Elephas maximus indicus: one gene and its partners. The protein of the gene in region 1 purifies or fractionates together with the protein of each later gene. This does not show direct contact. Links are inferred from orthologs where the notes say so. Each region holds a gene or a part of one and is shown in the gene's direction. Other genes may lie near its edges.

Region 1 (7,204 bases):
GAACAAATCAGTCTTAGATGAAATACAGTGAAAATGCTCCTTAGATGCAAGGATGGCGTGACTTTGGCTCACTTACTTTGGACACGTCATCAGGAAAGACCAATCACTAGAAAAGGACACCATGTTTGGTAAAACAGAGGATCAGCGAGAACAGGGGAAGCCTTCAATGAGATGGAGTGACACAATAGCCAAAATAATGGACTCGAACATACCAACAATCACGAAGTGGGCAACTTTTCGTTTTGTTAGACATAAGGTCTCATGAGTTGGAGCCCACTCGATGGCAACTAACAACAACAGTTTTTAAGACTCAAAGTCAGTATTCTTTCTACGACAGCTTCTTCTAATTTAAAGATGCAAGTAATGACCCCACTAAGCTTGCATGCTAAATAAACACTCGGTCTCACCGTTTCTTGGGTTACTAGTTACTATTTCAACCAGTCATTTCTGATTTCTATCTGAAAACCAAATTAACAGCAGAGAAAGTCAATTCCCTAAGTCACAGAGTATCCCGTTTGTAATATTTTTGTAATAGATTTAATTTCCTTTTAATGATAAATTAATATGTTTATCAAAGAAAACAAAGAAAAGAAAAAAAAATTAAACAGCAGCCCCACCATTCAGAGATAACCACCATTTTAGTGCATTTCCCTTTAGTATTTTTTATTTGCAGATTAAAAAAAAAAATTATGATCTTTATGAATAAAGATCCTTCATAATAAATTTGAGTTTATAAAACCGAACAAAACACTTCATAATTTGTAAACACCAGATGATCCAGGTGTGCAAGAAGTTTTGAGGGAGAGTGAAGAGCAGAATTTTTGCTCCTGGGTCAGCAGTGGCAGCTGATGGAACATTGGAGGTTTTCAATAGAGAAAGGCAATGGCAACTGAGGAAGCAGTAGCAGGAGAATTGGTACCATTTTGGCCCTAAACCCTAACTGACAGGCTTTGAAATTTATTGTCTCCCAAATTGTTATGTCTGGTCAGGAGATCTCTGGCACCGTATGTTATAATGTCAGCTGCTTTCTTGAATTTAAATTACTGTCTTCTTCAGACTCTTTCTGGCATCTGAAAGAATGAATGCCTGCTAACAAGGCGAAGTTGTGGCATTTATGGGATGATCACCTTTGAAGCCCAGCTGTGAGGAAGACCAGGCCACATCGACAGGCTATGTATAGGTATTCCAGTTGATATCCCCGTCTTAGTTATTTAGTGCTGCTTTAACAAAGACAAATTTATTCTCTCACAGTCTAGGAGGCTAGAAGTCTGGATTCAGGGTGTCAGCTCCAGGAGAAGGCTTTCTCTCTCTGTCAGTTCTGGATGAAGGTCCTTGTCATCAATCTTCCCCTGGTCTAGTTGCTTTTCAGTGCAGGGATCTCAGGTACAAAGGACACGCGCTCCTGGCTCTTCTTGGTTGGTAGTAACGAAGTCCCCATGTTTCTCTGCTCACTTCTCTCTTTTAGATCTCAAAAGAGGTTGACTTAAGATACAACTTAATCTTGTAGATTGAGTTCTGGCTTTTTTTTTCTTCTTTTAATCCTGCCTCGTTAATATCATAGATGTAGAATTTACAGCACACAGGAAAATCACATCAGATGACAAAATGGTGGACAATCACATAATACTGGGAGTCATGGCCTAGCCATGTTGATGCACATTTTTGGAGGACACAATTCAATCTGCAACTGTCCCCAGTGAGGTTCCAGCTGACAGCCACCATCAATTGTCAGGCTCGGAAAGAGGAAATTTGGGGAATCTCTAACCTATCTATTCCTCGTACATATTTTCAACCAGTTCACCTACTTCCAACTCCATCTATCACCCTCAAGGATATAACCTTACTAGATCATACTCTTCTTACTCTCAAGGATATAACCTTAAGAGTAAGATGAGTATGATCTAGTAAGAATGCATACATACAAAGCTTAATCCTTACTATCACTAGAAAGGAGAAATACCTTTATAACCCTATCTAGTTCTAATAGGTGGTGGTTTGTAGTGAAAACTCTGGACTTTTCATAAAAAGGCATGAATATAATTTCTAGCTCAGTACTAGTAATGTAGCATTCATCAGGTCACTTAAGTTCTCTGATTCTGTTTCCTTATCTTTAAAATGGGCATAATAATAGTCACCCTCCTTACTTCACAGAATTACCCTAAGGATCAAAGAAGATAATGAGTGAGAAAGCATTTTTTTTTAAAGTAAAAGACTGTTCAAATGTGAGATTTATTCAGTGCCTACTACTTGTATTAGCCACAGAGATTTATATAAGAAACAGAAAGCACAAATCTTGTTCTTTATATTCTTAGTGATATGCCATAGTTTGCTTTCACAAACATTTACGTGATCGCATCCTTCTGAGCCTAGCACTGTACCAGGTGCTTGAAGACCTCCTTGTTGTAAGTCAGATCCCTATTCTTCAGTTATAAAGCATGGATGAAGTGTTTTGCCATTAGACAATCACTCTTTAAAAACAACACTATGAAAACTAGGTCAAGTTGCTATGAAATTATCAGATACTGGTGTTAGCCAATTTTCTTCCAGTGTTATTTGGGGGATTCCATTTCTGAGCAAAGTGTTGGATGTTTCACTAAGTAACCGGCCACATCTAAATGTCCTTTGGGTAACCTTAAATTTGCCATTTCCCAAATTAAATTTGATAGCTACTCTCAAAACCTCTGCCTCCTCCTGAATTCTCCATCTTGGAGAAATGAACTAGCATCCACTCAATCACTAACTGAAAATTTAGAAATAATCTTTGAAGTAGCCCTGGAATCTGTTCCCATCTCCATCCTTACTGCCATTCTCTCATCTATACTATGGCAACAACTCCCTAATACCCTGCCTGCTCACTGTCTCCCTCCTCCAGCCCATCCTTCAAACTACTACTAATCCCAGTTTAAAAATGTAATCCTAGTTTAAAAATCTAACATTTCCCTAGCTGTTTACAAGATAAAAATTAGATTCCTCACATGTCGGTCCTCCAGGGTTAACAGTCCTATGGCATAGGTATGATCATATTGAAGTTACAGGTAAGAAAAGAGGAACCTAGAAAGACTGAGTGGCTTGGATTCCACTAGGTTTCTCACGCCAAACTCTTGCTCTTGAATTTAATGCCTCAGGTTTCTCATCTGCAAAATTCAATCAATAGCAACTTCTTCATAAAGTTGTCCTAAAGAGTAAAATAATACTGTGTGCGCTGGAGTCTATTCCAACTCACAGCGACCCTATAGGGCAGATGGGGTTTTCTAGACCATAATCTTTACGGGAACAGATAGTCAGGTCTTTTCTCCCTCAGAGAGGTTGAGGTTCAAACTGCCAAACTTTAGCTTAGCACCAGAGCCTTAACCACTGCACCACCACGGCTACTTAAATGAACTAATAACATGGACAACGTGCCTAGAACAGTGCCTGGCACATAACGCTCATTAACCTTATTTTACTATGATGATTTTTAAAGGTTTTATTGCTCTAATGAAGACTGGTGAATTTTTTTTTTTAATCAGCGACCCATCTCCTTACTGACAATAGTCAGCTCTTCTCCCTGAGTTAATTTTACCTCTCTGTGCTCTTTTGCCCACCTGAGACGTGGGGATGCGTCGCTCGTGCAATATGACAGTGTCAGGACCTAGACTGCTGTCTGGTGCACGGCTGTACAAAGTCGATGTGTGAACAACCCCGGGTGAGGCGGGACCAGGAGAGTAAAGCTTTGAACCCAATTAGGAGACTTCTGACATCTAGACATGTGCTGTTTCTACTCCGTGTGTGACCTCAGACAAGGAACTCCACGTCTCGGGCCTCCATTTCCTCTTTTGTAGTAAAAGAGATAATAATACTCCTCGTGCTTCCTCTCTCGCAGGGTTGTTGTGACAACCTCGAAACAAGAGGCGGGAGAAAGCTTCGTCATTCCAGGCCGAAGAGTCTCAAAATGGGGGGAGGGGGAAGGAGAGAAGGGGGGGGGGGGCAAGGTATCACGTGACACACTCGGCAAGGCATCACGTGACAAACTCGGCAAGGTCTTGGGAAACCTCCGAGCGTTTTTCCTAGAACGGCTCATCTCTATGGTTGGCGGCCGCGCAAATGCCTGTCCAGAAGGTTGTTCTTCCGGGGCGATTGCGGCTGCTTCCGGGGCGGGACGCGGCGAGCTGGGTTTACAGTCATCTCAGCTCCCGCCAGGCCCGTATCTCGATGCTCCCTGTTGCAATGAGCTTCCTTAAAAGTTTCCCGCCACCTGGCCCGGCTGAGGGGCTTCGGCAGCAGCAGCCAGATACTGAGGCTGTGTTGGACGGGAAGGGCCTCGGCACCGGAACCCTTTACATCGCTGAGAGGTAGGGTCCCTGTTACCGAGCTCTGGCCTCCTGCGCGCTGCCTTCTCCCTCGCACCGGCGGCGCCGAGGAACAGGAGAGAGACTGCGACCACGGTGGCTGCTGGGAGGGGCAGTGTGTGGTCCGCATCACCTTGGGGATGCCTCTGCTGGGAGGAAGACTCGTTTGTTCGTGTGTCTCCTGCCCCAGAGCATTTCTTTCTCTATTTCAGACGGAGTTTTCCTCCCTGATTGTGCTTTCTATCCGCCTACAAACTGGAGGTCTGGCGCGTGCGTTGCTCCTTACTCATGGGCATGGTTTTGAGTTTCTAGGCCCTGACTTCGTGTCCTATGAACAAGTGCGGGACAGGTTGCCCTGGGCAGGATGTGTAGGTTCAGTACAGGTTGTAGAGGATTTTGAATGTCTAGTTAAAAGAGTTTAGTTTTTTTCTGTAAGTGTGGGTGGGGAGAGGTGCACCCCTGACCCAAGGCTAGGGTCATAATCAAAGGGATCTGACTCACATTTCTTGGCCCTAGAGTGGATTTCTCTTTTCTTTTGCCATCTGAAACGCTTTGTACTTTCACAGTCAGACATGTCTTAAATTGAATACTTATTATCAGCCTTGCTTGTTTTAAAACAAATAACCCCAAAGATGTGTCAGATTCGACCTGCGACTCCCAGGAGTTTATTCTCTACTTGAGGATTAAGTATGTGAACAGTTAAATAAGTTAGCGAAGTATTGGGACTATAACAAGGCAACTGGAGATTAATAGTTAAGTGAGTAGTACAGATAGTGCTGGGGGATGGGGAAGTTCAGAGTAGGGAAGAATCACCGTAAGGAGAGGGGAGGTTGTAGAACAGGGTCTCTTAATTTGGTTTAAATGTAGGGCCTTTAAGGGGGTCTGTGAACCCCAGAAGTTACATGTAGGGTTTGACTGCATTGTTTTTGTGGTCTCTGACATTAGATTCTAAAGGAGTTCAGTGACCCCAAAAAACTTTAAAAGGACTTATTTATAAGGAAGGATGACCTGGAGGGAAAGTAGGATGTATAATATCACTGCTGTCGAGTCGATCCTGACTCATAGTGACCCTATAGGACAGAAGAGAACTGCCCCATAGAGTTTCCACGGAGCATCTGGTGAATTCAAACTGCCAGCCTTTTGGTTTGCAGCCGTAGCTCTTAACTACTACGCCATGTGGGGAGGAAATAGGGAAATATCAATAAATAGGCAAAAGTCCCAGAAACCTTCAAATACAAGGGCAAATTTAGGGCTAGTAGTTGGCTTTGTTTGCAACACGCAGACCCTCAGGGAACTCAGGTATTCTTTTCCCAGGTAGGCGCAGGACTCTATGTATAGACAGACACACTTTTTTCTTCCTCTTTTTTTTTAGTCGTACTTTAGATGAAATTTTATAGAACAAATTAGCTTCTCATTAAACAGTTAGTACACGTATTGTTTCATGGCATAGGTTAATAGCTCTATGACATGTCAACACTCTCCCTTCTCTACCTTGGGTTCCCTGTTACCAGCTTTAGACACACACACTTTTATTTAAGGAACATCTGAAATTATATTTGTTTAAGCAGGTCCAGTCCCATCTTTTCCATCCTCCCTGCCACTCTTTCATCCTTAAAAAAAAAGAGAGAGATGGAAATCCTAGTTACCTAGGTCACCTTTGTTATTTCATGGCCTGACCTTTACCCTAAAAATAGTTATACTCTGCCAGGTATCACTCTTTCCCACTTTCACAAAGTGGTATTCAAATAGAAAACTATGCTTATCATTTTTTTTTCCCCTTTGGTAATCTGCTAAGGGGCTTCAGTTTTTTCACTTGCATGCTTTCAAACTCAACCAGGCCCTCACTCCTTTTTATCCCTTTATTTGACTGTTTCAGATTTCTAATTTCATTGCCCATGTTCATGGCCCACATTTCCATACATTTCCAGCCTCTCTCCCTTTATCCCCCATCCCCTATCCCTGCCCCTTATGTAGATGATGGGAGCTTAAAATTCTCCTTGGCAGCTCACCTTCTCAGTCTTTTTTACTGGGTCAGCTTTATCTCCCTGAACTCTAAATGTTAGAGTGCCGTCATAGTAAAAGCCAAAGATCGGACTTCACAATTGCTTACAAGGCCCTCATGATCTTACTGCCTCCCGCAACCTCTCTAACCTCATCTACTACTTTTTCCTTCAACTGCTCTGTTCCAGACACATTGACTTCCTTGTTTTTCCCCAAAGTTGCCATACATGCACCCACCAAGGTCAGTTTCCAACAAACATGCTGCCATTTTGGTACCTTCGCACGTACTGTTACTACCCCATATGTCCACATAACTTGTTTCTATATTTCTTTCAGGTCTCTGCCAAAAAACCAGCTAGCTTATCAGTGAAGTGTTTCCTTAATCACCCTATATAAATTAGCTCCCCATTCCCATCTGTAAAGTCCCTTTACCTGCCTCTCCTTGCTTTATTTTTCTCCGTAGTACTTACACTATCAGACATATTACATACAATATCCTTTACTGTCAGAATGTGTTGGGTTCTTGAGTAGTTTACTGAAAAGGTTTTTTTTTTTTTCCTATGAATTCACAGCCAAACTAACTCAAATGAGAATTTTCATTAGAACTGGCTGAAGTTTAACGTTTTTCTGAAAATCAATTTCTAGATTGGCTTGGTAAAGAATCTTCATCAATCTAAACTACCCATGTCTAATAGGCATGTCAAACCATGGCATGACCAGAAGAAAATTCCTGTTTTCCTCTTTAAAAGTTGATTCTCCTTCAGTGTTCACTATCATCCTTCCAGTTGTTCACATCAGAAGCCTTGGAGTTATTTTTTGACTTGTTCCTTTCATACCCATGTAGGCAATCCTCAGAAAACCCTGTTGTGTCTGTC
Region 2 (7,504 bases), on another chromosome or scaffold:
CCAGAGTCATGCTGGTGTTAGAAACTTTTGGAGATAAAACAAAAGAAGTTCTGGATGATGCTATAAAAATGGTTAACCTTATCAAACCAAGACCAGTTCACTGTGGCATTTAAGCAGTATTTAAAAAAAAAAAAATTTTTTTTTTTTTTTAAGCTGTGTTTAAAACTGTGTTGGACAAAGACAACACAAATCTCCTGCCATGTGCATGAATCTTGTGGCTTAGCAGATCATTTGTTCTGGGAGAAGCCAGCTGACACGTCATGAGAATATTCAAGTCCTTAATCTCTGTGAAGAGGTCCATGTGGTGAGGAAACGAGGTCTCCTGCCAACAGGCAGCATCAACTTGCTAGGAATGTGAGTGAGCCACCTCGGAAATGATTCTCCAGCCCCAGTCAAGTCTTCAGATGACTGTAGTCCCCATGGACATCTTGACGGAAACTTCATGAAACCCTGGGCCAGAACAACCCAGCTGAATTGCTCCTGAATTTCTGACCCACAAATTGTGCAAGATAAATATTTATTGTTTTAAGCCACTAAGTGTTGGAGTAATTTCTTATACAGAAAGAAAAACTGATACTGATTTTGGTTCTTTACAGGATGTTTGAGCTGAAAGGTGACCTGTTAGAAATACTTTCAAGAAAATAGTAAGCCAGATTTTGTCAAGTGCTTTGACGATAAAGATGGCTGCAGAAACTAGTTAGCAGATATTTTTCACCACATGAACTACTTAAAGATGGAGAAAATATTTTACTTCAAGTGATAAGATTTTTGGGGTTAAATGGAAACTGAGTCTTTGGGAAAATCATACTGCAAAAGGAAATCTTGAAATGTTCCCACTGCTGCTTAGATTTGAAAGTGAGAAGTCTCAAGTGTTATTGAAGACCACCTGAGGGGATTGGAGAACAAAATTAAACAGCATTTTTCCTTCCCTTTCAACAGAAATATATGACTGGATGAGGGTTTATTTCTCTGAGTCTTCTTCTCAGCCTGAGAATCTGAGAGAAGAGGAAGAATTATTCTCTGTATAAACATAAGATGAAATGTACTGATCTGCCCTCTACAAGTTCTGGATTTCTGTGAAGGAAATTCATAGGAACACAAATACATGTTTTACTGTACTTTTCAACTTCTCACATGTGAGCAAACCTTTTCTTGTCTCAGGAGCATTAAGAGCAAAGGCAGAAATCATTTCATATCAGTTGAAAATAAAATCTGTGTGTGCCAATCTTAAGTTTGACTCAGAATTGAGCATCTGTGCAGCAAAAGATAAGCAAAGGTTTCACACGAATTAGGCAAATTTCAGTATTTTTCGTTTCAAAAGTAACACTTTATGCATATATAGGCCTATAAAAAGAGATCAAGAAATCAACACATGTGCATAATTTTGTAACTGCTAGGCCTATATTTAGGAGCCTTGGTGGTGCAATTAAGTGTTCGACTGCTAACTCCAAGGCTGGTGGTTTGAACCTACCCAGCAGCTCTGTAGAAGAAAGCTCTGACGATCTGCTACCATAAAGATTACAGCCAGAAAACCCTATGGGACAGTTATATACTACGTCACATAGGGTTGCTATGAGTCAAAATCGACTCAGCGAAACCTAACAACAACAGGCCTATATTTGAGTCTGATCAAGTCACTGAGTAAGAAAATGTATTTTCAAAGTCTTAAGTAAAATTATGTCTTGGGCTATATTTTTACTATTGCTTTGGTTTGTGATTTTAGTAGCTTCACTCTTCCACATTCTCAATACTTTTTTCATTTTGTAAACAACATTAATAAAAATCAATTTGAAGCCTTTACTAAATTTAAATTAGATCTACTGAGCCTACCTTAAAAAAAAATAAAATCCATTTTGCCTGAGGCCAGTTACTCAACAGAAAGTTATGATGTTTGCCATATAAATATTTATAGTTTATAAAAAGGAAGGAGCCCGGGTGGCACAGTGGTTAAGAGCTTGGCTGCTAACCAAAAGGTCAGCAGTTTGAATCCACCAGCTGCTCCTTGGAAACACTAAGGGGCAGTTTTACTCTGTCCCATAGGGTTGCTATGAGTCAGAATCGACTTGAATGCAACGGGTTTGGAAACCCTGGTGGCGTAGTAAAGTGCTATGGCTGCTAACCAAAGGGTCAGCAATTCGAATCCGCCAGATGCTCCTTGGAAACTCTATGGGGCAGTTCTATTCTGTCCTATAGGGTCACTATGAGTTGGAATTGACTTGACGGCACTGGGTTTGGTTTTGGTTTATAAAAAGGAAAGAGATTAATCTCAAGAAAAGTAAGCTAAGCTTAACCTGTTGTCCCCCCCCCCCCCCCGCAACCCCTTCAAGAAAGTTTGGCTAAAAAGTCATTTTCAGTTTTAAATAGAGGGAAAAACCTACTTCTGCACATATCATATACCGCATACCATACCTCGTTAGCATCTTATATAGCAGAAATTTGTGAATACTTTTAGGCCTATTTGGGTAAGATTTAAAAATTCAAGGTTTTTTTTTTTTTTAAAGAAAAGCTGAGGTTTCCTTTCTCATTTAATTTGCATTAGAGTTGATATTCTTTGTGAGGAGGGAGAGCTACAGAGTAGGCTAACAAGCTGGACAAAAATAAACAGATTCATAGAAAAACATCATTATTTACTCAAAAGAGCACTGACAATTATCATTGGATTGTGGAGCACAGTTCTACTCCTGACACACATAGAGTTGCCATGAGCGAAATCGCCAGGATAGCAGCTGGTTTTTTATTTACAACTTCTTGATCATGCTAACATACTGTGGTCTGTATATATAATAATTTTTATGTAGGGGTTCCTGAGACATGAAAAAATTTTTAAGAGTTCCTCAGGTAAAAAGAAAAAGGCCAGTCGAGTGGATGGAAAATGGAGCTTTTCCAAGCAAGTGTTTGACAAAGGGACAGCACAAGATGCAAGGCATGCAGGCTGTCTGGTGATGATGCTGGCCTGCTGGAACGGAGGAATGGTATATAACACAGGAGGGAAACACAACTAATTATATAAAGTTTTATATAGAATGTGGAGATTTTATTTTAGACTCAATGCTAAAGGGAACAGGAAGCTGTTTTGGGTCCTGGGGATGGATATGACATGCGGGAACTGATTTGGAAAGTTCAATATGTCATCATATGCAGTACAGATGACGGGAGGAAGAGTGTAGCCTCGAAGCATAGTTTGAGGTAACCAAGATGCTCAAAATGTGACAGGATGTTGTGATTCACTGTTATTTCTGGTCTTTTGAATTCTTGCACATTTTATAGGGTGATCTAGGGTAGAGATAACATAAGAAAATTTGGCAGCGACAACAGGAGGCCTGTAATAGGTTGTTGACAGTACAAAGCTACCTTAGAAGGAATTAACAGAAATTGCTAGCTTCGGATAAAAGACTGGATTGTGGATAGGTGGTAGGGAAGAAGGAGAGTGCTGAAAGGTTTGAGTCCAAATATTTAGAAAACAAGAGTATGATTGTATCATGAAGACAAACAGAGATTTGGAAACATGAACATTTTGGCAAGAGGAAAGCGGGATGGGTAGAGAAGGACTGAGGACTGTGAAAACCCATTTCAAGTTTCTTTCTAACCAGCTGGGAAAGTTACTTTGCTTCTTGGAATGTCATTTCCTTACTTGTAGAATAAAGGTGGTAGGCTCCAGGTGCTCTTGAAGGTCCCAAAAAAGTTCAATGATTTCATCATACTGAGTTGGAGATAGTAGTGGGACACCAAAAGGAGATAAAAGACCAAACTTAAGTGACACAAAAGTAAAACAGCATGGCAGGTATGAGTAATTTTACTCCCGTATGACAGAATTTAAGTACATTTATCGAATCTGAATTAAAGCTACATTTATCAAATTCATTTTGTATACAGAACTCAGGTGTCTCTCAAAGAGCTTTTAAGTTAGTGTAGAAGACATACTATAATTTCTAACATTTCTATAGTGGAGTTCACAAAGTTCTTTCAAAATCTCACTTAAACTTATAATTGCCTTCTGAAATAGGTGCCAATCCTCACTCTCTTTCAAAGAAGGGATGGTCAGCAATGTCAAATATCAAGAAAAGGTCGCAGAGAATTCGGGTGTAAAAGAATCCAACCAAAGCTAACTAATCGGAAGTTATACAAGCTTTCTTTGGGAGAGAAGTTTTAGCTGGTGGAGGGAAGCTGAAGACAGATGTAGCGAAGGCTGAAGGAGGGAAGGGGGTGAGGGGCAACCAGTATAGGTTGGGGCACAGCCTAACACCAGGTCTATGCTCAAAAAGTACTTGACACATGAATAAACTACCTGGTACCAAAAAAAAAAAGTTTGGCTTTCTATCAGATAATGTAGTTTCTTTAAACGTATATACATATAAATACACATTGTTTTTCTTCCTGCAGCTAGTGAAATCACAGGACAAAAGCACAAGAACAGTTCAGTCCACAATGGTGCGTACTTCAAAAGAACCGGAAAAAACAAAGAATTCCGGAACAAAGAACGCAGACGAGCCCGTCACTGGTTGTGACAGGTTCCGACGCGGCCAGATCCACCTCTGGGCAGAGCGCGGATCAAGAGTCCTCAGAGCTGTGACTGCACGGTTGCTAGAGCGGACAATGAACTGAAGAGCGAGGTCGGGGATCATGTTACTGCCCGAGAAGCTACAGCGCGCGGCCAGTCCGCAGTGACCGCTGGAGCGAACGTGCTCCAAATAGTACCCTCCTGGCTCCCGGGAGAGGTGGCAGAGCCCTAACGCCATCCATCTCCAAGGGCAACAGCGCAGCGGCACTTCCTTTAACGTCATGATGCAAAGGACGCTACCTACGTCACTTCCTCTGCCCGTCGTCAGGCAAGTTGACGTAATTGTTGTAAACTAGCGTTTGAAGCTTGATATCGCTCTTACTTTTACGGGGATGAAACCTGTTTTAGAAAGGTGAAATCGTCGCTGGTCTCGCTGGTGACTGGCTCCTTTTGGCTGGTCAGTTATTCCAACTTCCGGTCGGGGCATTTCCCCCCTCCCACTCTACGCAGATACGGTGGCCGAGGAGGCTCGCGGGTGGTGGAAGTACCGGGAAAGTGGGTGTGCGTGCACCGTCCGGGCCAGAGGTGCACGTGGCGCCGGTAAGTGGCTTTAGGAAGCCCGAAGATCTGAGCGTTCTGGATGTGGAGCGCAGCCAGGGAAGGAGGGAGGAAGGGAGGAAGGGAATGTAGCATGAAGACCTCGGTGCCAGCTGGGGGAGGAGGTACTAACCCTAGGGCGACGAGGATGGTGAGTGGTCGGCGCCCGAAGGTCCATGGAGAGGTGCCACGGCTCACTCCTCGTGTTCGTCACAGGTGCCTTGGCCGTGAGTGGGGTGGTAGGGCTGACCATTATCACTGTCCCCTTTTATGGTTTTCTGACCGAGGCTCAGATGAGTTAGGTGGTGTATCCAGAGGCTACAGTGACCTGAAGGCACGTACCGTTTTTCTCACCAGGTAGGAGAGAGCATGTCTTTTCGAGGCGGAGGTCGTGGAGGCTTTAATCGAGGTGGTGGAGGTGGCGGCTTCAGTCGCGGCGGCGGCAGCAACAACCACTTCCGAGGTGGAGGCGGCGGCAATTTCAGAGGCGGCAGCGGCGGCGGCAGAGGCGGATTTGGACGAGGGGGTGGCCGTGGAGGCTTTAACAAATTCCAAGACCAAGGACCTCCAGAACGTGTAGTTTGTATGTCAGCTCAATGCATGGCTTCTTTGGGACTTGGGGCTTGTGTTGTTAGTCAGAAAGTTTGACTTGGAGTCAGGTGTTATCGTAGGGAAGTTGCTGCTTGCTTGGGGAGGCAAGTCTGTTAGTGAGTAATGTTGTTAACTGACTTATAATCATGCTGTAGCATATGAGGGGGAGACCAAGAAGGTGAAGGACACTTAGAATGCATCATGGAAGTGGAACTTGAGCTTTGACAGAAAGGAAGAGTTGTCAGGAGTCATCGAGTTGGTTCCAGCTTATAGTGACCATGTATACAACAGAACGAATCACTGGTTCTTCGCAGCGTTCAGTCGTTGTTTTGCTTGAGCCCATCCTTGCAGCCATTTCAGTTGAAGGTCTTCCTCTCTTTCCCTGACCGAAGCATGATGTCCTTTTCCAGGGACTGGTCCCTCTTACTAACACGTCCAAAGTAATTGAGAGAAAGTCTCACCATTCTTGCTTCTAAGGAGCATTCTGGCTGTACTTCCAAGACAGATTTGTTTTTTCTGCTGGCAGTCCATGGTGTATCCCCTGTTCTTCGCCAAACATCGTAATTCAAATGCGTCATGTCTTCTTTGGTTTTCCTTTTTACTTGTCCAGCTTTCATATGCATAAGACCCGTAAGAGGCAATTGAAAATACCATGGCTTGAGTCAGGCACACTTCAGCTCTCAGTGACATTTTTGCTTTTTAGCACTTTAAAGAGGTCTTTCGCAGCAGATTTGTCTAATGTAATACGTTGTTTGATTTCTTGACTGCTACCTCCATGGACATTGATTGGGATCCAAGTAAAATGAAATCCTTGGCAACTTCAATCCTTTCTCTGTTTATCGTGGTGTTGCTTATTGAGCCAGTGTGAAGATTTTTGTTTTCTTTATGTTGAGATGTCATCCTCAACTTGCATCAGTAATTGTTTCAAGTCCTCTTCGCTTTCAGCAAAAAGGGATTGTATCATCTGCATACTGCAGGTTGTTAATGAGTCTTCCTCTAATCCTGATGCTGAGTCCTTCATATAGCCCACCTTCTCGGATTATTTGCTCAGCATATAGATTTAATAAGTATGGTGAAAGGATACAACCATGATGCATACCTTTCCTGATTTTAAACCATGTAGAATCCCCTTGTTCTGTTCGAATGACCGCCTCTTGGTCTATGTACAAGGCTCCACATGAGCACAATCATGTGCTCTGGAATTCCCTTTTTTTGCATATATAATTTATGATCCACAGAGTTGAATGCCTTTGCATAGTCAATAAAACACAGGTAAACATCTTTCTGGTATTCTCGGCTTTCAGCCAATAGAGGCTGTTTGAAATTCCAAACATTCTTGAACAATTGAAGAGTCATTGGTGAAGAGGTGGTAGTGGGAATGGGTATGTTTTAACAGAGAAGAAAAAAAGGCAATAGAGAAACAAAGACTGATTCATAGTTAGGGATTGGGGAGAAGGAAGAGAAGTCAGGAGAATGAAGCGTTGTTTAATCAAATAATAAGTGTCATTCTAGTAAAGAAATAAAACAACATTCATTATCCCACTTAATCTTCACAATACCATACATTAGATGGAGGTACCATTATTAGCCACATATTAAAGATGAGGACGTCGAAGCAGACAGAGAGTGGGTAACTTAGATCACATAGTTAGTACATTGTGGAATTGGTATACCAGCCTAGAAAGTCTGATTCCAGAGTCTATACTCTCATTGACTGTTATCTTTTGGCTTAGATGATAATAGTTATGATGACATCCCAGGAAGCCAAGAAGAAAGCCTTCAGAAGAGGTTGGTCAGTATCATTTGAAATAGCTTTAT
Region 3 (7,800 bases), on another chromosome or scaffold:
GCCCAGGTATACAGGGCACAGTGAGAGAAACTGGACAGAAGGCCTTTGAAGGCTGATATTTAGGCTTACTTCCACCATACCCCAGTGCCCTCAAGTCGATGCCTCCACCATAGCATTTAATTTATGCACCAGTGTGTTCCCTTTTCTGATTCTTTGGCGAATAGCATTAGTTAGAGTCTGAGAGAAGGTCAGCTATATCTTCGGCCAGTAGAATTCAAGCTTGCATGCCTGCAATGAGAAGAAAATCCACCATTCACTACCAGGAGCAAGGAGTGTAGATTAAAAACACAACACTGGTTCACATCCCAAGTTATTAACTTTGAAAATATCTGAAGGACCTTAGGAAGACCTTGCATAGACTCTTTCCAAGGTGTCTGTGGATGAGGATAGAATGGGGAGGACTCAGGAGAGGGCAGCTTCCCTGTAGTCTTGGAGGGCTATGTGGTCGGTACTGACGACTGGCTCATTTGTGGTCTTGGTAGGCAGGGCTGTTATGATTGCTTCCAATGACCATTAGGCACCTACCCTCATCCTACCAGCTACTGATAAACCATTTGCTGTCGAGTCGACTCCAACTTCTGGTGACCTCGCGTGTTAGAGTAGAACTCTGCCTCATAGGGTTTTTGGTAGCTGATTTTTCAGAAGTAGATCACCAGGCTTTTCTTTTAGGGACCTTTGGGTGGACTCAAACCTCCAACTTTTCTGTTAGCAGTTGAGTGCTGATGGAACGATCAGTTTCTTGAGTTAATAGCTGATGGTTCTATTAAATTTGCCGCCTTTATGAAACTTTACATCGGTTGTTTGCTTATTCATTCTTTCCTTTGAAGATTGGGTCTGCACAGGGCAGCCACATAGTTTCAAGCAGCACTTCGATGGCGACTTTGGATGGGCCTGATTAGTAGTGTACATCTGTAAGCCAGAGGTCCTGGAGGCCTATGTGGACCTGAAGATCACAGGGTCCTTGCGTAAGCTAGTAGCAGACGGGTTTTCCAAGGTGACTGTTTCTGTGGAAAGCCCATGATGCATGAGCTTTCAGTCTGGGGTGTTCCAGCTCCTTGAAAATGTATTTTATGTGATTTTATGCTGTGAAATTTCTTACCTCATAGAGCAATTATTGTAACTTGTAAGACTAACAATGGCTCCTAGAAATTTTTTTTTTAACTTTTATTGTGCTTTAAGAGAAATTTTACAAATCAAGTCGGATTCTCATACAAAAATTATAACACCTTGCTACATACTACTAACTGCTCTCCCCCTAACGAGAGCACACTCCTTCCCTCCACTCTGTTTTCATGTCCATTCAGCCAGCTTCTGACCCCCTCTACCCCCTCATCTCCCCTTCAGAGAGGAGGAGCCCACATAGTCTCATGTGTCTACTTGATCCAAGAAGCTCATTCTTCACGAGTATAATTATATATCCCATAGTCCAGTCCAATCCCTGTCTGAAGAGTTGGGTTTCGGAATGGTTCCTGTCTTGTGCTAACAGAAGGTCTAGGGAACATGACTTCAGGGGTCAGTCTAGTCTCAGTTAGACCATTAAGTCTGGTCTTTTTATGAGAATTTGGGGTCTGCATCCCACTGCTCTCCTGCTCCCTCAGGGGTTCTCTGTTGTGTTCCCTGTCAGGGCAGTCATTGGATGTAGCTGGGCACCATCTAGTTCTTCTGGTCTCAGGTTAATGTAGTCTCTGGTTTATGTGGACCTTTCTGCCTGTTGGGCTCATACTTATCTTGTGTCTTTGATTTTGTTTCTGCTGAGTCTCTATTTTTTCCTTGTATTTTATTTTGATGGGTAGGATTGTTATTCTCCTTTTTGGTTACCTTCATATTTACCCCTATTTTTCTAAGTTTAAATGTAACTTTTATTTCTTTATATCTCCTTGTCTTCCTCTCCATGTGAAAGATCTATGACTACGTTTCTTAGTTCCTCTTTGTTATTTTAATGTTGTCTTCTTTTACGTAATGATTTTGCTGTTTCCCTGTTTTGAGTGTTTTTTTTTTATCTTGTTTTATTTTTGTGATTTCCCTGTCTGGGTTAACATCTGATTGCTCTGTCTAGTCTTCTAGTCTTGGGTTGATACCTGATATTATTGATTTTCTAACCAAAGAACTCCCTTTAGTATTTCTTGTAGTTTTGGTTTGGTTTTTACAAATTCCCTAAACTTCTGTTTATCTGGAAATGTTTTAACTTCACCTTCATATTTGAGAGACAGTTTTGCTGGATTTATGATTCTTGGCAGGCAGTTTTTTTCCTTCAAGGCTTTATGTAAGTCATCCCATTCATTGCCTTTTTGCCTCCATGGTTTCTGCCAAATAGTCTGAGCTTGTCCTTATTGACTGTCCTTTGTAGGTCACTTTTTGTTTATCCCCAGCTGCTCTTAAAATTCTCTCTTATCTTTGGTTTTGGCAAGTTTGATTTTAATATGTCTTGGTGACTTTCTTTTATAATCTACCTTATGTGGAGTTCGATGAGCATCTTGGATTGATATCTTCTCATCTTTCAGGATATCAGGGAAGTTTTCTGCCAAAAAATCTTTAACAATTCTCTCTGTATTTTCTGTTATCCCTCCCTGTTCTGGTACTCCAATCACTCGTAGGTTATTTCTCTTGATAGAGTCCCACATGAGTCTTAAGTTTTCTTTATTTTTTTAAATACGTTTACCTGATTTTTCTTCAAATATATTCGTTCCAAGTGCTTTATATTCAAGGTCACTGATTCTGCCTTCCACTTGCTCAGTTGTGCTCCTGTGACTTTCTGTTGAGCTGTCTGGTTCTGTAATTTTATTGTTAATCTTCTGAAATTCTAATTGCTGTCTCTCTATGGGTTCTTGTAGCTTACTAAATTTTACACTATTTTCTTAAATAACCTTTTTAATTTCTTCAATTGCTTTATCTTTGTGTTCCTTGGCTTGTTCTGCATATTGCCTGATCTCCTTCCTGATGTCTTGAAGAGTTCTATATATTAATCTTTTGAATTCTGCATCCGGTAATTCCAGGAAGGCACCTTCGTCCAGGAGATCCTTTGATTTTCTGTTTCGAGAGCTCATTGAAGAGATCGTGGTCTGTTTCTTTATGTGGTTTGATATGGACTGTTGTCTCCGGGCCATCTATAAGTCATTGTATTAGTTTATTTTATGTTTGCTTACTGTATCCTAGTTTCTTGCTTTGTTTTGTTTTGATATGCCCAAATGGGTTGCTTGAGTGAGCTACCTTGATTATTTTCGCCTTTGGAGCTCTGATATCCTGTCACCACATGGCTAGAGCTCTTATCAGGTAAATGAGCTTATGAGTTCATTCACTTTTCTTGTGTGGATTCAGCTCAGGTGTCTGGGTAGCTGGTCATCAAGTGTGTGGTACAGGCTCTGTCCTACCATCTTAGAGGGGTAGGGGTGTTTGGTGTAGGTACTGGTATCTAGTTGCAGCAGGGGTCATGCTCTGAACAAGGCAGGGGGCTGAGAACTGTTCCCTGAGTGTCTGTGAGGAAAGTGTGTCCCTGTTCCCTAGAGCATACAGGTGGGTGGATTCTGCAGATGGACCATGGGCACCCAGTGCTTTTGTTTGTAAGGACTCGGAGGTACCCATTATCCTTAGGCCTCTGTCTCAGGTGGCTGGGTGACCTGAGTGGAGCCACCAGTCTTTAGACCCCTGATGTGGGTAGGTGAGGACCCTATTAATAGGCAAAGCAGAGTCAAATATCAAACACCCACCTCTCTACCATACAGCTTAAACAATTGCAGTCTGCCATCAAGGGCCTATTGTCCTCAAATCAGCCCACACAGTTCCATGCAGGGGGGAAAGGTATTCAAAGTCCACGGATCATTTATGCCTGGACAGGAGCCACTTCTGTCCTGAGCTCCCCTTGGGTGGTGGAGCTGGCAAATTATCTTTTCCCCCAGTTGTGAATTTATTCCTTCTCCAAGGCTGGGAGCATGGCTCAATGTGCTCAGATTGGCCTCTCTCAGGCCTGGGGAAATCACCAGCCACAGAAGCCGGCCAAGAGCTGGGGGCACAGTAAAATATACGCAAGTACTTAGCTTTTGCCGAGAGTGCCGTTCTTCCTTGGCTCTGGAGGTGTGAGTAGGCTGTGCAGCTGGCTGCTTCTCCCTGGGGAAACTGCGGCTGAACGCTACTATCAGCCCACTGCTGCTGCATCCGGGAATGGTGCCTGAGGGATCCCGACGATTCAGGTCTGGCAACTCCTCTTTGTTTCTGAACCGTCTCTTTCTCCCTCTGCCTCTCAGACTGTTTTCTAACTTTGCCTTTGATATTCAGGGCTCCTGGCTTGTCATAAATGTAATCGTTTCACTTGATTTTTTGGGTCTTTGTTGTAAGAGGGATCACCAGAAGCATCTGGCTATTCTGCCATCTTCATCTCCTAGAAATTTTGTGCTATGTAAAAAATTTTTTTTCTGGACTTCGATTTAAAAAAAAAGATAATAATACTACTTCTTTAGTCTTTTCTTTGAAGAAGCCAAATTCTGTGGTTCTGATCTGAAGCACCTCTAAGTTGGGTTATACATTCTAATCTTTGTTGTTGTCTAATTAGATTTATTTTAGTTAAATCCTTGGTGGAATATGTAACTCATTTTACTGAGTTTTCTGATTATTATATTTAGTCAACCTAAGTCTTTACCTTGAAGCAGTTTTTTTTTCTCTATTTTAGTCCAGTCTTGCTTTAATTATTTTTATGTTCCTATACATTCATACAACTCTTTCATATCATCTTTCTGGAAACATCTATTGCATATTCAACTGTGGTTTTTATTTGTGAGTGTTTAATGAAAAGGTTAAAGAGAGATCCCTTTGGATCTCTTATGAATTATCTACCCTGTTTTTCTACAACTTACTCCATAATCCACCATGTCTTGGCAGTGGGGAAGTTTCTTGAAAGGAGGGAACTCTTATCAGCATGCTTAGTTTGTGGGTAAGTCACCTTCATTTGTTGGTTTATTCCTAAAATGTTTTTTCTCTCTCCCTTTTTTGTCTTCCTGTCTCACTGCTTCTTGGAACATGGAACATGGACCTGCCCATCTTCTGGAAAAATGTTATCTTGGGGCTTTGGAACATGAATAACATGGGTGAGTTCTGAATTTAATGTTTAAGCTGCTGATTTCCCTCTTTGTGGAAGAAGAAAAGTGCCAAATGCAATTGTTTGATGGAAAACTATCTTCCCGCACCCTGTGCTGTGTGCAGGCCTTGCCATATGTGCCTCTGTTCCAGCTGATCCTCTTGCATGTGAGGGAGAAATCCTGAGTCGTACTATTAGCAGGACCCAGACTCAAATGAAACAAAGATGAATTATTTTCAATGACAGAAGTTGCTATTTAAACCCTTGCTGTTGGTTTTCTTTCTTTCTTTTGGGTTATACCATCTTTAATAATAGTTCTTTACGACAAGCAATTTGAAAATACACCAGTGTAGCTTGAAACGGAGTTTTTTAAGGCTGTTCAGCTGTTTCTATAAATAATACACTTCATATCATCATATTTACCATTTATGACAGATAAAAATGTGATTATGTTTGTGATGTTGGCATTGTTTCTAATATCAACCCACCAGAAATGGTGCGTAATTGAGGGGTTTACATTAAATGAGTCATGAGTCTTCTCAGGCCCATTAGTCTTTAATAGATGTTATCACCATTCAAGGTAGCAAAACTGTTCAATATCAAATTCCAACTTTTTTTTCTGAAACTGACCAATTATGATGTCCTGTGCTTTTGCATTCTGCGTGAAGGTTCAGGCTTGGGAAAGAAGGTTGTACTTCTGCTGGTGGAATCCTTGCTGTGGAAAAAGGAGGCTGGATAACAGGCAGCCTTTGACTACAAAAAATATATACTTTTAAATACATTTTTTTTCTGGCTCCTGAGGATGTGGGAAACAAGTGTGGGGGAAAGCCGTTGAATGGCATAATATTATAGAAGAACTGGTTCCATACTTTTTATGCTTTTATTAAAGTATTTAGTATGGCTGACTCCTGGAAAAAAAGAAATCGGTCGAGATATTTCCTTAGAGAGTCAGTGTTTCGATTATCAATTCCACTTTTATCTTGAATCTTCTTCTCAATACATTTCAAACTACCGTGTCACTGTCTTAGCAGGCTGAGATGGCGGGATTTCACTTGCTGGAAGCAAAGACATTTGTTGTTGTCCTCAGTTATTTTTGAAATTTCTAAAATTGTATTGAATATTAGCATGAAATTTGGCATTGATGTTTGTGCGATTTTCTACTCTGGTGTAAGTGATTAGAGAGTCTTTATCTTAGATGATTTAGTTACCCATAAATATCCTTAGGAATGTGTGTCATTTGAGTTTAATCTGTTGAGCTGTGAGTTGTTGATTTGACACAATTACCACCTAATTAGCTGTTTTGCCTATTGGGTTATGTTATGATTCATCAGTTCCACATATAAAATTTCCTTTCTGGATTCAGGTTGAGTGTTTTCCTCTGTGCTCCTTCAGGTCTTTTCTTCTCCCTCCTTATGAATGATGACCAACTGCACGGTCATCCTGAAATCTCAGTTTCTCTTCCAGTAAGAATCGGTAACCAGAACCTAATTTTTAAAACTGATCATGAGCCGAGTTTTGTGAATCTTCTTTCTGCCTGGGACCTAGGAAATCTTCTGAAGGTAACACTTTATTTGTGAGGTGCTCAGGAAATCTTCAGAAACCTCTGATCCTAAAAATAGGAAAGTGCAAACAAAGATGTTTACTACTACTTCCCAGGCAACCTTGTGTCTGGGTCAGTGTGTCTTCCCACCAGCTCTCCGCCCCCTCTCTTTCTATGGCCGCCTGCTATTGAGGAGTCTTTTGATTTGGGGGTTATTTGCTTTTTTTATTTGTTTGGTTTTGTTTCATTTTTGGGTGGTGGGTTGGGGGAAGCTGGCTGTGCAGCCTAAATAGTTACTGGTTTGGCCAGTACTTTTTTTCTAAAAACAAGCTGGTAGATTCATCGTATTGACCTGGTTCAGTTTCTGTGGTGTGCAGAACTGCAGAATTACCGTCACCTTCACGTTCGCCATCATCTTCATCACTCAGTCTCTATCAGGTGCTGGTTTATGGACTTTACATGAGTCTCATTTAATTATCATTAATAACCTCAAGATACAGGAATTTTGTACCATCTAATTTGTAGGAAAAATTCAAGCCTCGAGTTGCAATAGTGAAGGATTCCATGGGGAAAATATTAAATGATCCAGGAAGCATAAAAAAAAAAAGATGGAAGGAATACACAGAGTCATTATACCAAAAAGAATTAGTCGATATTCAACCATTTCAAGAGGTGGCATATGATCAGGCACCGATGGTACTGAAGGAAGAAGTCCAAGCTACTCTGAAGGCATTGGCGAAAAACAAAGCTCCAGGAATTGATGGAATATCGATTGAGATGTTTCAACAAACAGATGCAGCGCTGGAGGTGCTCACTCATCTATGCCAAGAAATATGGAAGAGAGCTTCCTGGCCAACTGACTGGAAGAGATCCATATTTATGCCTATTCCCAAGAAAGGTGATCCAACTGAATGTGGAAATTATAGAACAATATCATCAATATCACACACAAGCAAAATTTTGCTGAAAATCATTCAAAAAAGGCTGCAGCAGTATATTGACAGGGAACTGCCAGAAGTTTAGGTAGGTTTCAGAAGAGGACATGGAACCAGGGATATCATTGCTGATGTCAGATGGATCCTGGCTGAAAGCAGAGAATACCAGAAGGATGTCTACCTGTGTTTTATTGACTATGCAAAGGCATTCGACTGTGTAGATCATAACAAACTATGGATAACACTGCAAAGAATGGGAA

Evidence for each region.
Region 2: the proteins of CLNS1A (region 1) and GAR1 purify together in Homo sapiens (affinity purification with mass spectrometry; 3 studies listed by BioGRID and IntAct, counting the BioPlex papers as one, with this or other methods). This does not show direct contact. The link is inferred for Elephas maximus indicus from reciprocal best matches to the Homo sapiens genes CLNS1A and GAR1.
Region 3: the proteins of CLNS1A (region 1) and EPB41L3 purify together in Homo sapiens (affinity purification with mass spectrometry; 3 studies listed by BioGRID and IntAct, with this or other methods). This does not show direct contact. The link is inferred for Elephas maximus indicus from reciprocal best matches to the Homo sapiens genes CLNS1A and EPB41L3.

Annotation. Positions count from the first base shown.
Region 1 is NC_064825.1:44,460,435-44,467,638, forward strand, and holds the start of CLNS1A (methylosome subunit pICln), read left to right. Parts: upstream 1-4,126; 5' UTR 4,127-4,191; coding exon 4,192-4,331; intron 4,332-7,204. UniProt on the Homo sapiens protein: Involved in both the assembly of spliceosomal snRNPs and the methylation of Sm proteins.
Region 2 is NC_064823.1:41,299,207-41,306,710, reverse strand, and holds the start of GAR1 (H/ACA ribonucleoprotein complex subunit 1), read left to right. Parts: upstream 1-4,431; 5' UTR 4,432-4,826; intron 4,827-4,841; exon of another isoform or gene 4,842-5,098; intron 5,099-5,452; 5' UTR 5,453-5,464; coding exon 5,465-5,678; intron 5,679-7,504. UniProt on the Homo sapiens protein: Required for ribosome biogenesis and telomere maintenance. Part of the H/ACA small nucleolar ribonucleoprotein (H/ACA snoRNP) complex, which catalyzes pseudouridylation of rRNA.
Region 3 is NC_064829.1:23,598,079-23,605,878, reverse strand, and holds the start of EPB41L3 (band 4.1-like protein 3), read left to right. Parts: upstream 1-4,710; 5' UTR 4,711-5,014; coding exon 5,015-5,075; intron 5,076-7,800. UniProt on the Homo sapiens protein: Tumor suppressor that inhibits cell proliferation and promotes apoptosis. Modulates the activity of protein arginine N-methyltransferases, including PRMT3 and PRMT5.